Linked DNA regions of Diceros bicornis minor. The protein of the gene in region 1 purifies or fractionates together with the protein of each later gene. This does not show direct contact. Links are inferred from orthologs where the notes say so. Each region holds a gene or a part of one and is shown in the gene's direction. Other genes may lie near its edges.

Region 1 (8,333 bases):
TCAAGATTTGCTTTTATTTTATTTTTGTGTGTGTGAGAGGAAGATCAGCCCTGAGCTAACATCCAATGCCAATCCTCCTCTTTTTGCTGAGGAAGATTGGTCCTGGGCTACACATCCATGCCCATCTTCCTCTACTTTATCTGGGATGCCGCCATAGCATGGCTGGACAAGCGGTGAGTCGGTGCGCGCCCAGGATCCGAACCTGCGAAACTTTGGGCCACCGAAGAAGAGCGCACGCACTTAACCGCTGCGCAACCAAGCCAGCCCCGGAGATTTGCTTTTAAATGATCCCATGGAAGTGGTGGTGGGGATAGATGAAACAAAATTGGCCATGAATATTGAGTGATGGGTAACTGAGGGGTCCATTATATCAGTGCTCTCAAAGTTTAATGTCCATACTAATCCCTTGGGGATCTTGTTAAAATGCAGGTTCTGATTCAGTAGGTCTGGGTTGCTGCCCAAGATTTTACGCTTCTAACAAGCTCCCAGCTGCTGCTGATGCAGCTGGTCCTGGGACCATACTTTGAGTAGCAAGGCATTATACTATTCTCTTTACTTCTCTGTATATTTGAAATTTTCTGTAATAAAAAATGTTTAAAATAACCTTGGAAGCTCTTTAAAATGCAGACCCTCAAAATTATGATTCAACGGGTCTAGAGTGGGGCCTAGGAATTATCAAGGCCCCCAGGGGCTACTCATGCAGATGGCTTGCAGATCAAATTTTAAGAAACAAATTAGAAGTGCAACCTTTATCTTTGAGAAACAGAAAATCAGAAATACAACCTTTATTTGGTGTCAGGATCTTGGTGGTGGTAGTGGCTGAGAGGTGCAGTGTAGTCAGCTGGGTTTTACCCTTTTCATCTGTGGAATTTGCTTCCTGAGAAAGAAGGGGTGTGAAGAATCTTTGTCCTCTGGGATAGAGATGGTGAATGTGGGAATCAGCACAGATCCCTGCCATGCCAGGTGAGTTCGAAAATCAGGCTGGGGATTAAGGGAGTGTGGGATGAGTTGGCTTCTGTTTTGATGATTATAATCACACTCCATGGGGTCACTGTATACTTCCTTGCAGGTGGGAGGTAGAGACAGATGAAATCGTCCTACAACGGCGGCAAAAGCAGATAGATTATGGCAAGTGGACACCTGGTTACCAGTGCTTTCTGCAGCAGGTCCTCAAGTGAGTGCAGTTGTGAGTGGTCACAACAAGAGCATCAACCAAGCAGCTTTGGTTCAATGTCAGGTGATGGAAAGATACTAGAATCTGAGTGCTCTCACAAAGTTGCAGCATTACTAATACGAATTATCCTGCTGGGCCGGCCGTGTGGCTTAGCGGTTAAGTGTACACGCTCCACTACTGGCAGCCCAGGTTCGGGTCCCGGGCGCGCACCGACGCACCGCTTCTCCGGCCATGCTGAGGCCACGTGCCACATACAGCAACTAGAAGGATGTGCAACTATGACATACAACTATCTACTGGGGCTATGGGGAAAAAAAGGAGGAGGATTGGCAATAGATGTTAGCTCAGAGCTGGTCTTCCTTAGCAAAAAGAGGAGGATTAGCATGGATGCTAGCTTAGGGCTGATCTTCCTCACAAAAAAATAATAAAACTAATTCTCCTGCAATTTAGCCCCCAAAATAAGTTTCCAAGATTTTTTCAAATAGAAGAAGCCATATACTTGGCCCTTAAGACTTTTTAAAGCTTTATCCATGTTTGCTAATGAAGTTTTTTCCTTCTAACCATTTTTATCTCACGCCGCCAGCTGACTTGGCTAACTGCAACATATTTGCCTAATTACATGTAAGTTTACATGCATACCTTCAAACTAAATATATGAAAAGGTAGAATGCATTTTAAAGGGATATCAAATACTGTCTTATATATCTATCTTGACTTCTGAGGGAGTTGGAATATCTAATTTATCCTTCCCAGAAGAAAGAATATTAGGGAATTAGGAAGTTTGGTGTTTAATATGATCTGAAGATTTGGTTTTTCTGTTGGATTGATGGCATTGATCCTACCTCATTCTCAAGGAATTCCCTAACGAGTCTCCTGATTCATTGTGATGAAGCAGTGTGTTGTGCCCCTTCACCTTGACCTCAGTCTAACACATATTTGTCATTGCCAGAGCACAGTGACAGCCAGGACTTCACCCTCAAATGCCAAACAAGAACAGGAGGTACAGCTGTTGCTCTTGGGATGCCCAGATCAGGCAGTGGAGAAGAGCCCTACATTCCTGGGACCCCCCTAGCCAGCCTCTGCAGGGAGGGAGGCTGAGGGGTGTGTGCATTATTCCTGGTTCCTTCTGTGAGTGGTGGACTGAGCCCTACCTCTCCCCACTTTGCAGACGTTTAGCTTTCACTGGTTGAAAAGGGAGTCTGAAGGAGGTGTGTGTTCCTCTGACTCTGCTGCCTTCCTAGGCAGGGAATGGAGAGTCTCTTAAATGGATTTCACTCCTTTGGATGACCTCCTGGATGACTGGCTTCAGACTCTGGAACCCTCAGAGAATCTTGATGGAGACCAGAAGGGAGCCCAGGTAGTGTCCTCTGCTGAAACCCATTGGAGCAGCATCAGAGCGGGGTCTGGCCCATGAGGACACAATTAAGATGTGGTTCAAGGTAGTAGCCCAAGGGCCGGCCCCACGGCTTAGCGGTTAAGTGCGTGCGCTCCGCTGCTGGCGGCCCGGGTTCGGATCCCGGGCGTGCACTGACACACCACTTCTCTGGCCATGCTGAGGCTGCGTCCCACATACAGCAACTAGAAGGATGTGCAGCTATGACATACAACTATCTACTGGGGCTTTGCGGGGGGGGGGGGGGGAAGGTAGTAGCCCAAGAACAAAAGAAGGAAAATGGGGCAGCAGGAACAAATAGCTAGGACATGAGTAAGAAAAGCCTTGAGAACTAAAAGTGGCATAAGGAGATTTAATTATAGTTAGTAATGGGGAGGAGGTTGGGCTGCACTGGGGGCTATTTTATACTTGGTGAAAGGGGTGTAATCTTCCTTTGAAATGAGGCCTGAAACCTGACTTGCAGGTTTGGTTAAGTGTCTCAGTTTCTTTCAATGTTTTGCAAATAAGCCAATGCTAACTTCTTATACTCAATCATTTAACTTTAGTAGGCATGGTTAATAATAAAAAGGGGGATCACCTTGCAGTGAAGACCAACAGCTTTAGAGCCTGACTGCTGTTTTTTTTTTAATTTATTTTATTGATGTCTTAATAGTTTATACCTGTGAAATTTTGGTTGTATATTTTTGTTTGTTGATCACCATATACATGTCTCCCTTCACCCCTTGTGCCCACCCCCTACTCCCATTGCCCCTGGTAACCACAATACAGTTTTCTCTGTCCATGTGTTGGTTTATATTCCACATATGAGTGAGATCATACGGTGTTTGTCTTTCAGAGCCTCAGACTGCTTTTTAATACTACCTTTGTCCACCACATGGGCAGTCACTTAACCTCTCCAGCTATTTCATCTGTCAAATAAGGAGATTTTGTCTCATTTGATGATTCTAAGCAAAAATGAGCATATATATTTAAAGTATGTAGCACGGTGCCTGGCACATAAATGCTCCACAACAGCAGTTATTGGAAGCCATGTCTCCTGTACTTCATGCCCCCCCCCCCCTCCTTCTTTTGCTAAAGGGCAATGTGCAGGGCAAAGAAATGTGCAGTGCATCTTCCCTCCATCCCCATTTTCTTCATAACTACCTCACTTTCCCTCTACTCTTCTTTTTCAGTTTGCAGACTTGGTGGCTCCTGGCTCTGTGAGGAAGATTCCCACCACTGGCTCTACTTTCTAGCTGATCAGTTACTTATCTGTACCAGACTTGAAAGGGGAACAAAATATTTAGGGAAAACAGATGTCTTTCAGGGGACTTGTTGCTAAGTGTAATAGTGAAGATTACTTGCATTACTGCTACTTTCCAAACGATTAAAAAAGAAATCTAAAACTCTGCCCTACAAAGAGATCACAACACGAAGGCATTGTTTAAAACCTCTCCTTTTTCCATCTTTTTGCCCGTCTTTCTAAACCTTCTTTGATAGCTGAGACTCAAGTTTACATAAGAGCCAGAAACCATCTAGCTGTTCCCCAACCTGTTCACCTACTAACTTCTTCAGTCTCTTCAAAAAGGACTTAAACTCTGGCTGAGGTGGGAGGTGATGGTAGTAGTGGAGATTTAATAAAAGGTGGTTTCTTCTTCCTGAAGAGGAAATATAGGGCCATCAACATCTTTTCCCCATCTGCCTGTTTCATCCCTCCCTTTCTGTCTTAACGAAAGAGGTCCAGCTGTAACCACCGTATTCCTCCCGCCCCGCCCCCCCACGCAAGCAACTGAACCGCCTATGATGTCATAATCACAATCCCATTACCTCATCCTGCTGGGCAGGGGGGTTGGGGTGCGTAGAGGGAGGAGGAGTGAACAGCCCTGGGCCCTCCTCAGCTTTACAAAGTGTTTTGGGTGAAGGCTAATTACAGAACCCAGTGGGAAAGGCCCCGCAACCGTTATGAATCCTGCGTTTATAAGGTTCCAGCCGATCCGGCAGCTAGAAGACGGGCTCCTGGGACTCTGAGCAGGCCTTAATGGGCGCTTGGACTACACTTCCCAGAAGCCTTCACGCCGCGGACAGGTCCTCTGCTAGGGGTAGGGGGATTCCTTTAGAGAGGCGGCCGTACAGGGTGGGACAGGAGAGCAGTGAGAGGAACCTTGGCTAATTCTATCATGCTACCCGAACCGAGCAGGGGGCTGTACTTTGGCCCACGTAGGAATGGAGGGCGGGGGCGATGGCTTTGTTTACCTTCGTCCGACACGGCTCCCCCCGCGGGTTTCGAGACATGTCTCCAACTGGGCCCGTCCACCTTCTGCAATATTTTGGAGGGGGTGACTCGATAGTGAGGAAACCACCCTCGTCCCTAAATCAAAGAGCTGGGCTTGTTCCCCACAGCGCTATCCAAGAAAGACTTTGAGACAGAAACGACGCGGGGCTCGAGCCTCCGCGGGCGGTTCGGGGGGATTCTGTGTACCGGAGAGACTGCCTCACTCTCCTGAGGGGCCCGTTGGTTCGCGCCAGCGCCTTTTAAGGGCACCGTGGGGCGAACGGAGCGCTCAGAGCTGCTCTGGCCGCGGCCCTGGGAGCTGGAGGAGCCGCGGTAGGTGGCGGAGGGCAGGTGGCGCTGGGGCCTCGGGGCGGGCACCTCAACCGTCCCTCCCTCCTTCCCCCTTTCCCCTCCCCCAGCCCGGCCGCCCGCGCGGCACGGCCTCGCAGGCCGCCTCCGCGGGGAGAGCACGGGACCCGGTGGGGGAGGGGGTGGCGGAGTGCTAAGTCCCGGACCCTCTTCATCGCCGGCGTCCTGAGTTCGCTTCCCGCGGCCAGATGATGAAAGCTGATTGGGAAGAGGCGAGCGACAGCCTCATTGAGCGAGCCCTAGCCCGCCCCCCCCCCCCCGCCCCAGGGGCCAGCGGACGCCCCATGCCCCACCCCGCGGGGACAGGCAGGGCAGCCGAGGGTGAGGTTGAAGATTGGAGGGGGGCCTAGCCTTTTGCTTCTTCATCGAGATGGGGGGAGGGAGTGCTCCCCACTTGTCACCCCTATCCCGGCCAGAGCCATATGGAGGAAGAGCAGTCAGGTCCCCACTTACCTGTTCCTGCACCTCCCTGCCTCCCTCATGTTTTCCTTAAGTCTCCCCCAGAGGTGTGGGGCTGGGACCTGCGGGGAATGTCCCCAGGGGATTTGTGACTCTCCTCCCCCTTGGCCTGACTTGATCCTAGGTTCTCCAGCTTTCAGCACAGCCTCAGCATCCCTAAAACCCGAATGTCAGGAGTTACTGCCATCCAATAGGATATGGGGTGGGAGCCCAATATTTATTTTAGGGGGCTAATGGTGGAGAGAAAACCTGGATTGAAAGTTGGGCCTGGTGGGGTTTTGGGGAGGGCCTAGCGGCCTGCTGCTCTATGAAGGGCTGAGCCCGGTGCCAGTTGTTGAGCTGAGAAGTTTTAACTTTTTAGTGAATGTTCAGGGCCGTTTCTGCCCCTCAGATATACAAAATGGAAGGGGAAGGAAGGCGGCAAGAGAGGGCTTCTTACACTTTTTTCTATGCTTGCCTGAGAAAGAGGAGGCCCCTCGCGGAGCTGGTTTGCCTTCTTTTGTGTCCTGGTTTGATTCCTTATGGCTTCCGTTCTGTTCCCCCTCTCAGCCTGGCCTGTTTTAGGAAACTCAGGCTGAGAGTATGAGTTGTGTGGTGGTAGTTGTATTGTTCCAGTTACCACCGTGTGTGGCCACATCCCAACAATTAAAATGCAGAAAAATACAAAATCACTCTCTTCACTTGATCCCAGAGAGAGCTGGGAGTTTGCTGTTTGGCCAAATGCCTCATGAACAGCTTGAAAGAATTTGCTTCACTCCCTGCTCATGGCTGGTCAGCCTGAGGCCTAGGGTCTCCGGGGTAAAAGCCTGCAGTTAGGTTCCCTCTCTGGTTGCTCTTTGAGGGCAGAGTTAAGAAACCAAGAGCAGAAGTGATATAAGGTTTAGCTTCTCCCACAGGGACATAGGGGAAGCAGTTGAAGGGAGCTCTCAGGAAGCTGGAACTTGGTTCAGGGTGGTAATAATAATTATGCGTGACAATGGTAGTTAACTGTAATGATGATTGACTTTTCTCACACCTTTTTTCAAAAAAACTCCAAGTACCTCCACGTGTATTTCTTTGCTCTTCCTTATGGCCTGCCTCCCCATGAGGTGGGAATGGGGCAGAGATGATCCCTCCTTTTTGCAAAAGTAGAAAGTGATCTGCCCCCAAGGTCACAGAAGAGCCTTTTTGGGTCTCTCTTGGTATGCAGATCAGGGAGGTGGGCATCTAGCCAAATAGATAAACTTGGACTGCCTTCTTCATCTTAATGATAGCATCACTTGTGGCATTCTGAGGCTTTGTAGAGCAACAAACAGGAGGGTTGAGAAATGGCAGTTTGTGTGGACTCCTGATTTGTACAGATCAGATGGTATGCTTTTTACATTTTGATATTTTATGTTTTATTGTCCCTGTGACAGATTATTCTGCCCATTCTACATATGGGTAAACAGGTCAAGAAAGGTTAAATGATTTGACAAAACTGTCACAGCAAATCCGATCAAGATTTAGGTTTCTTGATAGATTGTTCTCTCTACTAGCAAATGCTACATACACTCTCTGGTGAGCTGTCTGCTTGCTGATCATTGCCAATTTCTGGGAATTGGCAATACTATATCGAAACACTAGGTTAACCTCTCCTCCTCCCTTGAGCATGGCCCCTCAAGCAATTGTGTGGGCTTGAAGCCTGTTCTCTGATAGAAGTAGTTTGCTTCTACTGTAATTGACTGTGAGAAAGAGTCTTGATTAATTGTATCCATGGTCTTTGAGTCAGATCAGGCTAAAAACTTAGTTGAGTGAAGTCATAGAGTTGTTTTTAACATCTATGGAGTTGAAATGTAACTGGAATTACCCTGGTACCATTTCCTTATCCTCTCACCATTTTTAAGAGAATATATACAGTATCTCTTGAAAACAATAATATATCAACTGTTCAGGCTAACAGAGAACATAAAACCTTGTTTACTCTGATTGGTCTGAAGCTGAAAGTCATTCCTACAACCACTGCTCCTCCCTGTTCCCTATTACTATTTCTGTAGTTTAGGAAAAAGGTACCTCTGTTTGCTTGTGCCTGGAAGATAAAGACAATATTGGGCTAATCAGGATAGAAGTAACCATTTGGGCATCCCTCTCTCTCATTTGAGCTGTTTTTGAAGTGCTGGTATTCTGGGTAGACAGAGCAGAGCATGAACCAGGTTAGGAGCAGCAAATAGGTTTCAACTTGCTTGCCAACTCCAGTTCATTTTAGTGGTTATCTGGAGTGCCAAGTTCAGAATGTTTCTGAAGCTATGTTTAGGCTTAGCAGGAGAGAGCTGTGATCAATTAATGATGTCTGCCGGAGGCCTGGCATAGGGATGCTGTGGTATGTATGCCATGCATTTTCCATCTCTGGACCAGGTACATCTCTAATATCACTTGGGGCTGGTCCCTCTGTAATTGGCAGACTCAGCAGGCATGACTGGAGAGGGAAGTCCCAATGGTGCTAGAATGGTGCTGCAGTGGCAGAAGACGGCTCACGAGTGAGGTCTGGAAGAACGACAGGGAAGACATCCATCATTTGCTCCAAAGTGTGCAAGTCAAATCCTGGGGAGAATCATGATAACCCTGATCACTGAGCAGCTACAGAAGCAGACTCTGGATGAGCTGAAATGCACACGCTTCAGCATCAGTCTGGTAAAAGACCAGTCTTTCTGCTTCTCCACAAACCCCCC
Region 2 (7,947 bases), on another chromosome or scaffold:
AGGGCTGCTGAAGCAGAGCATGCCAAACTTAGCCACTAGGCCATGGGGCCAGCCCTGCGCATACTACTTTTAGGAGCGTAAATTGGTGAAATCATTTCTGAGGGATATTTTGGCAACATGAATCAAAGCTTTTTAAGGGTGCACGCCCTTATCCTAAGGAAATAACGACAGGTGTGTAAAATGTGTACATGTGATATTTATGTAGCTTTACTTGTAATAACAAAAAAAAAAAAGAGGAAAACTTCCTTGAAAAATGGAGAAGCAGTTGAATTATGGCTCATTCAGCTGATGGAATACTTGTAGCTGTTAGAATAATCATCTAAATTTTAGTTGATTAACACAAAAATGTGTTCATAACACAATTGTAAGTAAAAAAGGCATAAAACATACCTATATGTGTTGTGTGTGTGTGTGCGTGTGCTCATGTCTAAGAAGGTCTAGAAGAATATATGTGAATATGAAGATATTAATAAGGTTTATCTCTGGGTGATACCTATGAATAATCTTTACTTCTTTATTGCTTTCCACATTGTAAAACTGTTTGTAATGACCATAAATTACTTTTATTTTGTTTTTGGATCTCAGGTGCAGAGAACTGAGTATTAACTTCTTGATTCATAGCATGCTACCATTGCCAGTTTTAACAAGGCCCCTCTCTTGTTTTAATTTATTGTTTCTTTTGAATTTGATAAACATGAATTACTATTAAAACCAGAACAAACAATAAAGCTTATACAAGGGGAGCAATCAAGGACCTTTACTCTGAAGTCTGTAAGAAGAGTGAGGGTGTCAGATTCTAGCCACGTCACTGTCCAGGGATGAATTGTAAATTGTTCACCTTCTCACCTGATGTGAAGGGCAGAGATATTGGTTGGTGGAATGTTTGGTTAGTTCTTGGAATGTTTGGGTTATAACTCCCAGCCAGGTTCCAACTAGTGAACTTTTGGGCTTAGTATAGCACACCACGAAGAGTGGCCATGAACAGATGTGGAACCAATGAAAAGAACCTGGCTTGGCTTGGAATCTTGGCTTGGATCTGTGTGTTAGTCTGCCAGGGCTGCCATAACAAAGTACCACAAACCAGGTGGCTTCAACAACAGAAATGTATTGTCTCCCAGTTCTGGAGGCCAGAGGTCCAAAATCAAGGTGTCGGTGAGGTTGATTCCCTCTGACGGCTGTGAGGGAGAATCTGCTCCAAACCTCTCTCCCAGCTTCTGGCAGCCTCAGCTGTTCCTTGGCTTGTAGATGGCGTTCTCTCTGTGTCTTCACAGTCTTCCGTGCGTGAATGTCTGTCTCTGTGTCCAAATTTCTCCTTTTTAAAAGGAAATGCCAATTATATTGGATTAGGGCTCACTCTAATGTCCTCATCTTGATTATCCCTGTAAAGACTCTATTTCCAAATAATCCCAGATCATCTTGGTGTGGCGGAAAGAATATGGGCTTTGCAATTACACTCGGGTTTGAATCTTGGCTTCACCACTTACTAGTGGTGTGACCTTGGGAAAGTAATTACTCAGGACTTGTTTTCTCATCTGTATAATGGGTATATACTGTTGCTAGAATGTACTGGATAAGCGGAGGCTGTTATTATCTGTGAGTTGGGCAGGTCTTTGCTCTTAGAGGTTAACTTCTATCAATAGATACATCTGTAACACATCTGTCAGTGATCTGATAGGGAGATTCTCAGATGACAGCAAGGATTTAATCACTGAATCCTGTCAACACTAAACTGGCATCTGTACCAGAGTCCTTCCTGCCTACATGTGTTTACTTGTTTGGAGCAGCGTAATTTACAGGTTACTTTTTAGGTGAAGCCTAGATAAAACTATTTTACAGCATTCCAACCTGGACATGACAGTTCATTGATCAATGTTGTGTAAGGCTGTCACACTGGGGGTGGGGGGTTGGAGTTGGGAGGGAAGGGGGCAACCTTCTAGATATGATCAATGTCTTCTATTATTTCATGATTACAAGCTGGAGATTCTGCCTCACCCTGATAATCTTCTAGACTGATTTGACTGAAGACAAGGGTACATTTCTTGAGACATTGTCATATTCTTTGCAGGTTACCTAGAAGATTAATTATGCCAGTTTCCTTATCACCACCAAAAATTTGACTCAAATTTATTTTAGTCTTAAAGGTTGCAAATCCTTAATTGATCTGATAGAAGTGAAAGTGTGGTGAATGGGGTGGGGGCGGGGAGCAGGGAGGAGGGAAGCGGGAGGGAGGAACGAGTTGGTTGCATAGGTGGAAGCGAGCTTGGGAGGAATCAAGGTAGAGATCTCTCACCTCAGTAGGGACACCCTTGGCCACCTCCTTCGAAACAATCAAGTTGAATGTAGACTTTACCTTAGCAGGGCAATTTTGAAGCAGAAATCCAAAAGAACTTCTGACAGGGCAACTTTTGATACCACGTAGAATCAGTCAGAATTAAGCTATTTGCCAGTCTACTTTTTGCATAATTTACTTTAGATTTACTCTGATTTCTTTCAAGACCTGTGCTAGTCTGAATGGTTGCCTTGGTATGTCAATGTTCTAATAACTGTAGGAGGGAAACATTGGTTGGAAATCATTTAAAGCCGTGTCTTTCCTTGAGTAACATACGATAGAGACCTGTATTTGTTATGGTGGTGTTTTTCTCTACACCTAAGATTGTATCTGTTGCTACTGTATTTGTGAACAGCTCAAGCTAAAGAAAAAATTGATATGAACACTATCATAAGATGGCAAAATCAAGGTTAGAAATCAATCAGTGACTTGCTGTAAAATGATATCTCTATATATCCTTTTTAGCGTAACATTTATTAAAGTCCATTTTATTAGCATAGGTACAAAACACAATTTTTCCAGTGGCTGTCCGCTCATTACAAAGTAGCCAGCACTGCATGGCTACTAGCATCCCTAGGTTTTAATGCCTGGGGAACACACCTAGCAATATTCAGCCAGGCAGAAGGGGTAGACTGAATACAAATAAACGAAAGCCAGAATGGGCGAATTAAGAATCTGGAAGCTGAGATGGTGCATGAAAAAGAAAAACAGAAAAACAGGGAGTTGGACAAGGATACAGTAACCGCTCAAGAGGATTAATTTCAGGGGCATTCCGATGGAGAAGGCAGGCTGCGCCCAGAAAGGTGGGGAAGGGTTTGAAATAGCTGGGAGAGCCTGGGAGAGCGTGCACAGCCTAAAAAGTTTTCATGATGGCTCCGTCCATGATTTCTGAACGCTGGCATTGGTTGCTACGAAAACCGAGCGGCATGATTTAGCCAAGGTGTCAGCCGCAGGGGCATCCCGGATTCGGGCGAAGCGTCCGGAATTCCTGAGATGTCTGAAACGCGGAGGCGGCCGCTTCCCCACCCCCAGCCGCGGCCTCCGTGGGCATTTTCCGGCGAGGGGGGCACGCGAGCCCTTCGAAGAACAGTTCAGACGCGCGGACGTGCGCAGCCAGGCCGCCTGACCCCGGCCAGCGCGCTCCCCAGGGAGCAAGGTGAGCGCCCCCGGCCCGGGCGCGCGGGGTGGGCCGCCCGGGGCCCCCTCCCCCCGGCGCGGGCGGGGCTGCGGGCGCACAACGCGGAAGCGCGGGGCTCCGGGGGCGACGGCGCGGAGGCCGCGCGCGCTCCCCGGGCCGCAGTCGGCGCGCGCGCGGGCGCGGCGGGCGCGGGGCGGGGCGCGGCCGGGCGGCCGCGGGCGCTCGCGCACAGGCCGGGCAGGCGCCTCGCCCCCCTTCCCCTTCGCCTTCCTTCCCTCGGCCCGGCCGGCCCCCTCCTCTCCCCTCCCCCGAGCGAATCACGCGCCCTCCTCTGACACTCGTAGCGGGCCCGAGCTCCGAATTTATCCTTCACGTGACCTGAGGGGGTTGGGTGGTTGGTCGGGGACGCAGAGGGAGAGGGAAAGGAGGGAACGGAATCTGCCGTTGCCCGAGCAACAGGCCCCGCCCGCCGGCTTGGGGCCGGGGGGGCGGGAGGAGGACGTCAGCACGTCAGCCGGGGTTTTGCGTTTTGATTGACAGTTGCTATAGCGACCGGGTCGGTCCGTCGCCATTTTGTTGGTTGGTTTTTTTTTAAACCCTTTCGCTTCCCGCCCGAATAATAATAAAAAGCCCCATTGGAGTGAGGCGGGGGTGGCGGCGGCAAGAGCGGCGGGGGGATCCGGGGAGACTGCTGCCGTCGCTGCTGCTGATCGCAGCCCAGGTCGGGCTTAGGGAGCGGACACCCCGAGCGGGGGGTGCGGGCGCCGCCGCCGCCGCCGCCGCCGCTTCTGCTGCTGCTGTTCCTGCTGCTGCTGTTGGTGCCGCTGCCGCCGCCGGCGAGCGGGCGGGACCGGTGTGAGTGTGCGAGTGTGTGTGTGAGTGAGCGTGTGCGCGGGCGAGTGTGCGTGTGTGTGTGTGTGTGTGTGAGTGTCTGTCTGTCTGTGCGGGGACTCGGGGGCGGGCGGTTCGGGCTCTCCTGGCGGAGGAGCCGCCGCCGCCGCCGCCGCCGCTCGGGCCCCGGCGCTTCTCGCTGCGCAGGTTTGGAGCGCGCGCCATTTTGTGAGATTTACAAAATCCTCCTCGGGAAGAAGCCGCCGGGAGCGGCCGCCACTCGGCGCCCGGCCTCGTCGCCGCCGCCCTCCGCGCCGGGCCGGGCCGCGCGGCCCCGCCGCCGGGAGTCGGGGTCCGGGGACTGCGGTATTTGCCGGGGAGGGGGCTGTCGCCTCCCCGGCCCCGGGCGCCGCTGGAACCGCGAGCCGGAGAGAGACTGAGGAGGCTGCGGCGCGGCCGCCGAGCCGGGAGCGCCGGGGGCGGAGAGAGGCGGCCGGGGCGGCGCTGGCTGCGGAGGCCGCGGCGGAGCGCAGCGGCGGGAGCCCGAGGCTGAGACTCACCGGAGGGAGCGGCGCGAGCGCCCCGCCATCGTCCCGGTGAGTGTCCGGCCCGGCCGCGGCCCCGCCCGGCCCGGCGCTCGGCTCCCCCCGCGGCCTGCAGCCGGGCCCGCGCCGAGGCTGGCCGGGCGGAGGGAGGGACCTGCCATTTTAGGAGGAGGCGCCGCGGCCCGGGGCCGGCCGCCGGGGAGGGAGCCCGCCGGGCCCGGTCCCGGAGGAGAGGCGGGTGCAAGCGGAGGGAAAGTTCGGAGGGTGGGAGCGGGGGCCTGGGGGCCGGAGAGAGCGCCAGACCTTCACTGGTCGCCCGAGCCGAGGGGAGGAGGTTGTCTTCCTCCTCCTCCTCCTCTTCCTCCTCATCCTCTTCCCCCAGCTCCTCCCTCGTCCCTCCTCTCGGTCCCCACCAGTGTGGGAACCGCCGGGGTTCTCCGCAAGGACAATGCACGGGCTAAGAAAATGGGGCCGGCCGCTGGGCCAGGCGCCGGGGAAGGTCGCGAGCCCGGTCCCCCCGCGGCCCTTGGGCTGTGTGCTGGGGCGAGGGCCCTCGGCGTGCTCCGAAGTTGTGCCGCGAGTGCGAGGCAGCCCGGCCGCTCGGGAGGGAGGCATGACCTCTTTAGCAGCCGGAGGAGTTGGTGGCTGGGAATGCGTAAATTATAATGGATACCTGGATATTGCCACGAAACTTGACGAGTCTCTTTACAGGCACAAGCCCACTCTCGCTTAGAGAGAGGCCCCTCCCTAGGCTGCAATAGTTAAAAATGGCACGGTTAGTGAGTGAGTGACTCCAAGTACTTGTCTCTGCCTTTCGTCCGGCCCTAGATGATAGGAAATTTGTAATCTAGGTGCGGCACTTAAATGCCAGCACCATTTGGTTCTTGAATTCCGCCCAAGTTGTCAGAAAATACACCTTATAGCATTGTTTTCACACCGATTTGGAGATGAGGACGAAGAATGCCAGGCACTCGTTCTCAGGGCTTCAAGTGTATTAACTCGCTCATACTACCGGTAGGAATTGTTACCCATTGTACAGATGGGAAAACTGAGCTGTGACTCATCCAAGGTCATACAGCTGGGACTCCAGGAGCCAGGAGTCTGCAGTCAGCCTGGCCTCTTAATCACTAGGTTATAACTCATTATAAATACTGGCGGATTTTGGAGTGATCTGTGCGTAATGACTCAGGGTTGTAACCTAGAGATTGTGTCCATGTATAGTGGTTAGCGTGGGATTAACTTTGTGGTTTTTGGAAGTGGAAAGGAAAGATTGAGATGAGGCCCTCTTAATGAAACTTGTCAGCCCCCCCACCCCCCAACTAGGGAGACAGTTTTTGAATGGAAGGAATTAAAAAATATTCTTTGGTGCGTTTTGTTCTTCACACTTAATTTTAATTATAGGCGTCATTTAAGTATTGATGAGTCATAAGAAAGTTTTGCGTAAAGTTATTATTAGTCATTTTTGTCTTTGAATACTTAGATTTCTTCTTTACATACTTTACATATGCAAAGTGCTTAAGAATGGGTATATTTAATAGTTTCCATTTCGTGACATTTTAATAATTCAGTGGAATTACCTTTAGCTTTTTTGTTATATTTCTCATATCTTGGTGGTTTAGTTACTTTGAGAGAATATTATGTTCAGATAGACTATAAACATGAGACTAGAACTAAAATTTCATGTGCTAAGATTTTAAACCGAAGAAGATAGTTTCAAAGAAGCAGCAGTTAAGACAAAAGTTTACTTGATTATAGTTAAGATGTTTAATATACGTATGACTTAGACTTCAGGTACCCCCAGTGTTTTTGGAGGATTTGCCTTGAAATAGTGGTGTTTATGGTGGCTGTCCAGATTCGTCTAAACTTCAAATTTTGCCAAAGTTAAGGACTCCTGTCAATGTCTACACAAAGTTGTATTGTAAAACTGACTATAAACAGTTGATAAGAGACGTAGGCTCAGAAGTTAATTATTCTAGAAGGTAGGGTCACCCCCGTGTCTGTAAGGTGAAGGCACACTCCTTTAAAATCTAAAAAAGATTTTAGATTTGAACAAACAGGCTTGAATGAATGAATGATCATTATTGGTAGGGGTGGGAGAGACTACGTGATCTAGTGAGATCTTTGTTATTGTTAGGAATTCGGAATTGGGGTATAAGATCATTTCTTAAACATATTTTAAAGATATTTTGGTGGGACCTATTAGAAACTTAACAAACATACAGAATTACTGTGTGCTGAGGATTCAAAAATGAACGAGTTAGTCCAGTCTTTTAGGGTCACTAACATTCGAATTAAATGAAAATATCCCATTTTAATACAATGTCTGGTTTGGGAATGTGGATAGTGAAAAAGACCCTTGGTTAGAATTTTTTTCTCCTCTAGGATATTATCTGACGTCTGCCCCTTAGTTTTATTTATGGAGAGTTACTGTGTTTGTGACTTAAAGATATGGGGGTGTGGAGTGGTAAGTGCACCAAATGGTATTTAGGGAGTTTACATAGGTTTTTATAGTGCTATGAATATTTATCTGCAAAAGCAAAATTCAGGATAACTTGTTATAACACATAATATAGAATGACCTTTGGCGTGTATTTTATTTTGAAACTACAAAAAAAGAAAATGCTAATTTGTATTGAATCTTGGCTACTACTTGAAAACAAGTTTTTTTTTTTTAAATAAAAAATAGCGTAGAAATTTAGACTGCCCAGGGATGTTTTCACATGCATGTTTATGGTTGGCGAGAATTTAGTTATGGGAAGAAAATTTGGATAGAAGTAACTTAATTATGAGTGAGAAGAGAATTGCCTTATACGTGACATTAAAAATAAGATTAATAGGAGAGATGGCTTCATTTGTGACTTTCTTGGTATTTATGATTAGGTGTGTGTCAGTTTTTCTTTGCTTTAGCATTAGGTTTTGTTTTATTTTAAAGAACTTTCACATTTCTTAGATCCACACTCACACCCCCAAGCAATTTCTCTTTTATTCCTCAAGGAAAAACCTTAACCGTCTGAAGCCAGCAAACCCCAAAAACTTCCAGAAAGTTTTAATAACGAACTTGGCTCTTCTCTCCCAAAATTTTATTAGTCTTATAGTTGTGTTGT
Region 3 (7,521 bases), on another chromosome or scaffold:
GTGAGTGGACGGAGGGGCCGGAGGTGGGGGCCAAGTATGGGCTGGTGGTGCCGTAGGAGGCAGGGAAAGGCCCAGGCTGCTTCCTGCACTCTGTGGCTTGGAGCCAGGCCCTTCCCTCTCAGAGGGCCTGTGAGTAAAAGGAGCAGCTTGAACCACATGGTCTCCACAGCCTCATTCAGCATCACTCCTGAGTTCTTGGCCCGGAGGGAAGGGCTTTGGGCATCCAGGTGACTATGTTAGAGGGGCCCAGAGCTGAGAGTACAGATACCAGACTCTTTGTTTTGGTTGCCCTCTTTAAAAATGTATGCCCCTAAAATCTGGTCTCCTGGTTTCTCCTGAAAGAACAGGAGGTCTCAGTTTCTGGACCTGCATTTCTGTGTGGCTATACCGGTTCCCTATTTAGAGGGCCCCCGTGGGTCTCAACTTCATGACCCCCAGCTCATCTACATACCTATAGGCTGTGTAATTTAGTGGTGAAAAACCCCAGGCTCTGGGGCAGGCATTTAATAGTGAAGTGGTTCTCAGCAAGTTACTTAACCTCTTTGGGCCTCAGTTTACCCCTCTGGAAAATAGGGTTATTGTGAAGCTAAAGGAGTTAACTCCCGTAAAGTGCTTAAAGCAGTGCCTGGCCCACTGCAGATATTCTTAGCTGTTAGATTTCATCTCTGTGCCCTAGCTTCCTGGTATTAAGCCTGTATTGGGGCCTGGGCTCTCCGATCAGGCAAAGTGGAATTGAATAACCCTTGGCCAGTGACTTCACATCTCTGGACCTTGGTGTATTCATCTGAAAAATGGACATAACAATAGTTGTTAAATGGTAGGACTTTGATTTGGAGATTTGGAGAGATGCTGCGTGCAGTGAATGGGCCCAAAGTAGGTGCTCGATACATGAGAACTGGTATCATTGATGTTATTATTTGATGTATTTTAGGACGGTCTGGTCTATGCAGTTGAGTTCTCCCACCGCTCCGGCCGTGACCTCATTAACTTGGCCAAGAAGAGGACCAACATTATTCCTGTCATTGAAGACGCTCGGCACCCGCACAAATACCGCATGCTCATCGGTGAGGGGTCCAGGGGTTGGCCCAGGTAGGGTAGGACAGGCCACTCCAGGTTTCCTGGAAGAGGCCGCCAGAGCCCTGAATCAGATGGAGCTGAGTGGATGAGCAGGCCTCTTGCATCTGCAGCGGTGCAAAGGGTAGGGGAGCCAGCTGAGTTTGTGGAGGTGGTGGTCCCAGTTCAGGGTCTCAGATGTCTGACGGCTAGCCTCCTTCCCTCCAATCTCCTGCCCCTCTCCCTAGCCCCCCGTACTTCCTGGTACTGGTGCTTTTTACACTGGCTTATGTAGAAAAGCCTTCTTCAGAGGTCCTCCTCATCACCTGGAGAGAGCATAACCCAGGAAGCACAAACTGAGGCCCGGAGGGGCCCACTGTGAATATTAATGACTTTGTTTTTTAAGAAATTCAAAAGCATAATGTAAAAATGGAAGGCCTTATAAACTACCCCCAAAGGTAACTGATAACAATTTGATGTCTGCTTTTCCCAGTTTTAAAAAAGTCAGTTTTCATTACATCATCTTTTCCTTTTTTTAAGTTATTATTTTTTTAAATCACACTGCCTTAAAAATGTTATGTTGTATTCTGCTGGTTTTTCTTTCTGTGCATTTTTTTTCCATGCACTCATACCATATCCTTTGTCCTACTACTTGTTTTCATTTGACAAACCTGCAGACACTCTTGCCTGTAAGTGCTCACCTTTACTTGCCTTTTTGATGACATGTCTGTCTCCCCCCCCAGACCCGGGAGCGTCTCGAGGGCAGGGTCCGGGTCTGACTCGTCTCTGTGTCCCCCACGCCCGGCCCGGGGCTGGCCACAGAGTAGGTGGCAACCATGATTTACAAGAGGAATGAATGAATGGTGTGACTGTGGGTTTTGGACCCATCTTGGAGGCACCGCGGAGGGAGGGGGATCAGTGGGGGTAAGTGAGACTGGAGGCAGGAGACTTTGCCAGAAACCTGCTGGTGATGGGGCGCAGGCCCCACGAGAGGAGCTGGGAAGATCCAGTGGATCTGGCTCTTAACTGCCGCTTCTTTCTCCCTAGCAATGGTGGATGTGATCTTTGCCGACGTGGCCCAGCCAGACCAGACCCGGATTGTAGCCCTGAATGCCCACACCTTCCTGCGTAATGGAGGACACTTTGTGATTTCCATTAAGGTGCGGGGGCTTGGAGGGGTCTAAGATGGGGTGCTAGTATCTTTCTCGCTCTCTAACTGGCAAGCAGCCAGTCACTACAAGGGGGTCTCCACCCCTCTTAATCCAGTCAGTCTGTTCCCAGCCTCTATCCCTACCCAGCTCCCTACAAGCCACCTCTGCCCCAAGTCAAATAGCACATGATGAAGAACATCTTCAAAACTAAAAATCTTTGGATTTAAAAATGCAATAGAATGTAGTGGTCACGTGAATGATCGCTGGGTCTGACCATCTGAGTTTGAATTCCAGCTTGAATTAAGTGACTTTGAGTAAGATACTTAACCTGTGTGCCTGTTTCTTCACTGGTAAAATAGAAATATTAGTCCTATCTCTTTTAGTGTTGATGTAAGGATTCAATTTATCAATATATATGAAGTGTTTAGAACAGACCCTGGTATAAAATAAATTCTAGGTCCATGCTAGGTGCATTTTAAAAAAGGTTTTATTTTGAAATACAGAGAAGTCGCCTGTGTATCCTTCAACCAGATTCTCACCATTTGTTGGCCTTTTGTGACATTTGTTTTTGTATTCTCAGCTGCATTGTTACTATTGTTAAAGAAGAGGAAGTAGACGAAAAAACTCCTCGGTGTAAAATTTAAACACTGGCTTGTAGATCCATAGGGCTCTGTTGAAGGCTTCCTATTTCCAAGTCCAAACCAAATTGAAAACTTCTCTAAGGAAGTCTTTCCCTACATTTCCAAAACCTGAGTTTCACTGAGTTGCCAATAAAAAGAAATACATCTGGTTTAAAAAGCACAGAACAGGGAAAACAGCCTTGCCACAGACTTCAGACCCTCTCTCCTCTGCAGGCCAACTGCATCGACTCCACCGCCTCGGCCGAGGCCGTGTTTGCCTCTGAGGTGAAGAAGATGCAGCAGGAGAACATGAAGCCCCAGGAGCAGCTGACCCTGGAGCCGTACGAGAGAGACCACGCCGTGGTCGTGGGTGTGTACAGGTGAGCAGGGGCCCGGGATCCACCAGGACAGACATCTCTGTCCCCGCTGGGGGAGCCGCACAGGTAGTGCTGGAGTGCCCCAAAGTGGTGACAGGCTCTGAATATCCTCGTCTCCTTCCTCTCGCAGGCCACCCCCCAAGGTGAAGAACTGAAGCCCAGCGCCATCGGGATTGCGAGATTGTGTTGCTACTGTTAATACGTGTGTTTTCTATTAAAAGACTCATCCGTCGCTCCTGTCTGCTGCTGATGGCTTGACGGCCTCTCAAGACAAGGCGCATGCGCCCTTGGTCAACTTGCGGAGTGGTGGGGTGGAGTGCGCCTCCGGTCACACAGCGCATGCTCCTTTCCTAGCGGCTTCCTGCGCAGCCGTAACCCGGCTGTCGGCGCTTGGGCGGGGTTGGTAGCTCACTGCGCATGTACAGCGGTAAGCGCCGCTGAGCGCAGGCGCGGTGTGTTGCCCTGGGTCACGTGAGAAGGACAGATGGGGGGGCTGGGGGCGGAGCCCGAGGCTGGGGGGGCCGGTTTGTTGTGGTCGCCATTTTGCTGGTTGCATTACTGGGTAATCGGGGCCCTGGCTCGCCGCGTCCGCCGGATACCTTCAGCCCGTGGGCAGGTCTGGGCTCGGGCTTCCCGAGCAGTTTGAGTCCCCTTGCCCGCGCCCTCAGGTAACGACGCGGCTGCGGGCGGGGCGGCACGCGCTCGCGGTGAGGGGGGGCAGTACGGGACCCGCCCTGCCCGCGTCGCTGCGAGACTCAGCACGAGGCCGAGGGAGGAGAGGAGGGGGGTGGCGGGCAGGTGCAGGCCGTGCCCGGCTATTCATAGTCGGATTCCTGGAAGGGGCCGAGCCCGAGGCAGCAGTCTTAGCAAGGAGGCCGGGAGGGGGTAGCGGGGCCCCGCTCCCGCCCTTTGTTTGGGCTCGGCACCGCCGGCCGCTTCGTCGTCGCCTAGCAACAGCTGCCCTGGGCTGTGATTGGCTGAGCTCTTGGCAGCAGCGACCAATGGCACGGTTGTTGCCATGGCAGGTGCGGACTGCCAAACTCAGCCCGGCCCCGCCCGCTGGGGCTCCGTGGGCCGGGGCGGGCCTCTAGGGTGGGGGGCGGGACGCCGGGGTCCCCAGGGGCGGGGCCGGCGGGGCGAGGGTTAACCCGCCCCTCCCCCGTCCACCTGCTTTCTCCTTCCCCCGCGTGCCCCGGGCTGACCCTCGTCCCCTCCTCTCCCCGCCCCCGGCGGCGGCGGCGGCTGCTGTTGTCACCCACCGGGCCGCCTGTCCCGCTTGCCCTCCCCGCCGCGGGGCTTGCCGGGCCGGCCGGGCCGGGACAGGCGGCCGTCTCCTCACCGCCGCCACCGCCGCCATGCTGGCCGCTCGCCCACCCCACTGGGGGCCCCACCGCGCCCCAGCCCCCCGTGGGCCCCGCGCCAGCCCTGACCCGGGTAGGGGGTGGGGGCTGGGAGAGATGGTCCTGGTGTGGGAGGGCCCCGGAGAAGAGGTTGTTTTGGTGGGGGAGCTCCGAGAGAGAGGAGGGGTCGTGGAGTGGCAAGGCTTGGCATAGGAGGAGGATTGACATGGGAGAAGTGGCAGATACTCTGGGAGGGGAGACCTCTATGTGATATTTGGGGAATTTGGCTATGGGGGCCTTCTAGGAATGGGCACAGTTGTGGATTGACCCTGGCGAAGAGAGGAGGGACTGGAGAAAGGGCCCTGGTAGGAATGTTGGGGGAGGGGGAGGGGAGTAGGGTCCAGTGTAGGGTTGAGAAGGCCGAGTACTCTAAACCCAGCGTGGGAAGAGACGCCTCCCCTTTGCTCCCATCTGGAGGAGTAGGTTTTGATTGGGAGGGGGACCTTGGAGTAATGTGGGGAAGAGCCCTGTTTGGGGAACTGGAATATGGTATGGGGAAACTACTTGAAGGGGTGGTCCCTGATGTGGGAGGAAATGATATAGGGAAGAGGTCTTGGCATGATATGGGGAGGGTCCCCTGGGAATGGTGTGCCCTGGTGGATGAGAGTGCCATAGGGGTGGGACTCCAATGTATAAGGGTTCTCAGATAACCTTGGTGTGGTCAGGAGATCCCTAAGGACCCTGCTGTGATTTTAGGAGCCTGCAGAGGACTCTGCTGTGGTTTGGAGGGGGCCCAGAGGACTCTCATGTGGTTTGGGGAGGATCCTAGAGTTCTCTGGATTGGGGTACCTACAGGGAAGGGTAGATCTTGGAGTGGGGGGACCTTGCTGTGACAGGAAATGAGATCCTGAGGTTCAGGGAGGACTGCAGGAGGGCAGCATCTTGTGTGAGGGGCCCTGGGAAGGGCTAGGAGTAGAAATGGGAAGAAAAGAGTGAGCCCTACTCCCTATACTGTCTGTGGTTTCTATCTTTTTCCTCTCTTCCTTCCCCTAATTGTTGGTATCTTTCTGTCCTTTCCTGTCATGACCCATATCCCTGCGTGGCTCCCAATCATTCCCTTCACATGTCCCCCTCTTTATGCCACTTACTTCATTTATCCGGTAATCATTTGTTGAGGGACTCCGCTGTGCCCCTCCCCCCCCGCCACTTCTCTCTGTCCCCTCTCTTCATTGCCACCTGTTGCTCTCTTGCACCCTTTTTCTCCTCCCTCTGTGCCCTGTCTTCTCTCTGATGTCCACCTCTTTCCCGCCTGGCACTGTCCCACACATCCCCTTGTTCTCTGTTGTTCCCCTGCCTCCCGCCTGCTCTCAGGTCTCAGCGGCGGTGGCAGCCGAGGTGCAGGATGCGAGAAGGCGCCCCCCGGCCGGGCTCCCGCTCCAGGCCTCACTCCCTTGCGGCCCTCTGAGCCCACCATGGCCATCCCACCGGGCCATGGTCCCTTCTCTGGCTTCCCGGGGCCCCAGGAGCACACGCAGGTACGCGGTCAGCTGGCTCCTCACCTGCCTGGGGTAGGGGGAGGATGGGAATAGAAGGGGGCCAAAAGATAATGTGGTTGCCCAGGACAGTCTCCTGGGGACATGACGGGCCCTAGGAGAGTGGGAGGTAATAGAGGAGTTGCTGGCAGAGTCAGGGTTTGGAGAGCCTGGGTTCAAATCCTCACATGGTGGTTAAACGACTTCGGTTCTCCATGCTTCAGTTTACTGTAAAATGGGACCAGTAACGATACCTCCCTCACAGGATTGTTGTGAGGATGAAATGAGCTAATGAAATGCCTGTCAAGTGCCAAGAACAGTGCCCGGCACTTAGTAGACACTCAATAAATGTTCACCAAGCAAAAAAAGTCCAGAGTGAAAGATCTGGAGAGCGTGAAAGTGGAGGAAGACTAGGCCTGCGGGGTCTTGGAGTCAGCAGAGCTTGAGGGTACAGGGTCAAGACCTTCAAGGGCAGAGACTGTTAAGGTTCTGATGTGTAGAGCCTGAAGTGGGATGGAGTGGGAGGTCCAGGGGGCTGGATGCAGATCCAAGACCCTTGGGGTGAAAAAACTGGCAAAGATGCACAGAGGAGGTGAGGGTGAGGGTTGGGAAGGCCCACAAGATGGGGGCCTCTCAAGATGGGATACCCAGAGTGGCCAGTCTCAGGCCAAAGGACTGGGAGGGGCAGAGCCCAGGTTTCCTATCTGATCTCTCCCACTGAGGTTCAGAAAGGAGTGAGGTGTGGGATGAAAGGTCAGGGGTGAAGAGTCCACCCTTCAGTCACTCAGCGAGTCTCTCATGGACACCCCCTGCGTGCCAGGCCCCGCGCCAGGCTCTAGAGCTGCGGCAAGAACAAGACGACGTCCCTGCCCCTGGGGAGTTGACATTCTGTGGGGTTGTGAGACAGTGACCAAGTAAACATGTGCGTGCTAATGATGAGCCAGCCACCCATGTAGTTCTCCCCCTTGAGGTGGGAGGCAAAGGCCTGTCCTCAGTGTCCACCCCCACCCCGCCCCCCAGGTATTGCCTGATGTGCGGCTGCTGCCGCGGAGGCTGCCCCTGGCCTTCCGGGACGCGACCTCGGCCCCGCTGCGCAAGCTCTCCGTGGACCTCATCAAGACCTACAAGCACATCAATGAGGTGGGCCGGGGGTGGGGGGCCCGGGCTGGGTGCTGCGGGGTCCTGGCTGCTGGCACGGTCACTCACCAGTCCTTATCTCGGCCCCCCTGCTGGGCAGGTATACTATGCGAAGAAGAAGCGGCGGGCCCAGCAGGCACCACCTCAGGACTCGAGCACCAAGAAGGAGAAGAAGGTCCTGAACCACGGTTATGACGACGACAACCATGACTACATCGTGCGCAGTGGCGAGCGCTGGCTGGAGCGCTATGAGATTGACTCCCTCATTGGCAAAGGCTCCTTCGGCCAGGTGCGGGAGGCCCCACCCCACC

Evidence for each region.
Region 2: the proteins of FAM53C (region 1) and DYRK1A purify together in Homo sapiens (affinity purification with mass spectrometry; 8 studies listed by BioGRID and IntAct, counting the BioPlex papers as one, with this or other methods). This does not show direct contact. The link is inferred for Diceros bicornis minor from reciprocal best matches to the Homo sapiens genes FAM53C and DYRK1A.
Region 3: the proteins of FAM53C (region 1) and DYRK1B purify together in Homo sapiens (affinity purification with mass spectrometry; 3 studies listed by BioGRID and IntAct, counting the BioPlex papers as one, with this or other methods). This does not show direct contact. The link is inferred for Diceros bicornis minor from reciprocal best matches to the Homo sapiens genes FAM53C and DYRK1B.

The regions. Positions count from the first base shown.
Region 1 is NC_080740.1:56,906,714-56,915,046, forward strand, and holds the start of FAM53C (protein FAM53C), read left to right. Parts: upstream 1-5,093; 5' UTR 5,094-5,151; intron 5,152-5,536; exon of another isoform or gene 5,537-8,065; 5' UTR 8,066-8,217; coding exon 8,218-8,295; intron 8,296-8,333.
Region 2 is NC_080766.1:37,535,394-37,543,340, forward strand, and holds the start of DYRK1A (dual specificity tyrosine-phosphorylation-regulated kinase 1A), read left to right. Parts: upstream 1-4,818; 5' UTR 4,819-4,894; intron 4,895-7,947. UniProt on the Homo sapiens protein: Dual-specificity kinase which possesses both serine/threonine and tyrosine kinase activities. Exhibits a substrate preference for proline at position P+1 and arginine at position P-3.
Region 3 is NC_080773.1:13,603,340-13,610,860, reverse strand, and holds the start of DYRK1B (dual specificity tyrosine-phosphorylation-regulated kinase 1B), read left to right. Parts: upstream 1-4,397; 5' UTR 4,398-4,556; coding exon 4,557-4,635; intron 4,636-5,912; coding exon 5,913-6,076; intron 6,077-7,093; coding exon 7,094-7,213; intron 7,214-7,310; coding exon 7,311-7,499; intron 7,500-7,521. Other genes in the region: FBL (rRNA 2'-O-methyltransferase fibrillarin), read left to right, coding at 932-1,064, 2,101-2,213, 3,059-3,204, 3,332-3,356.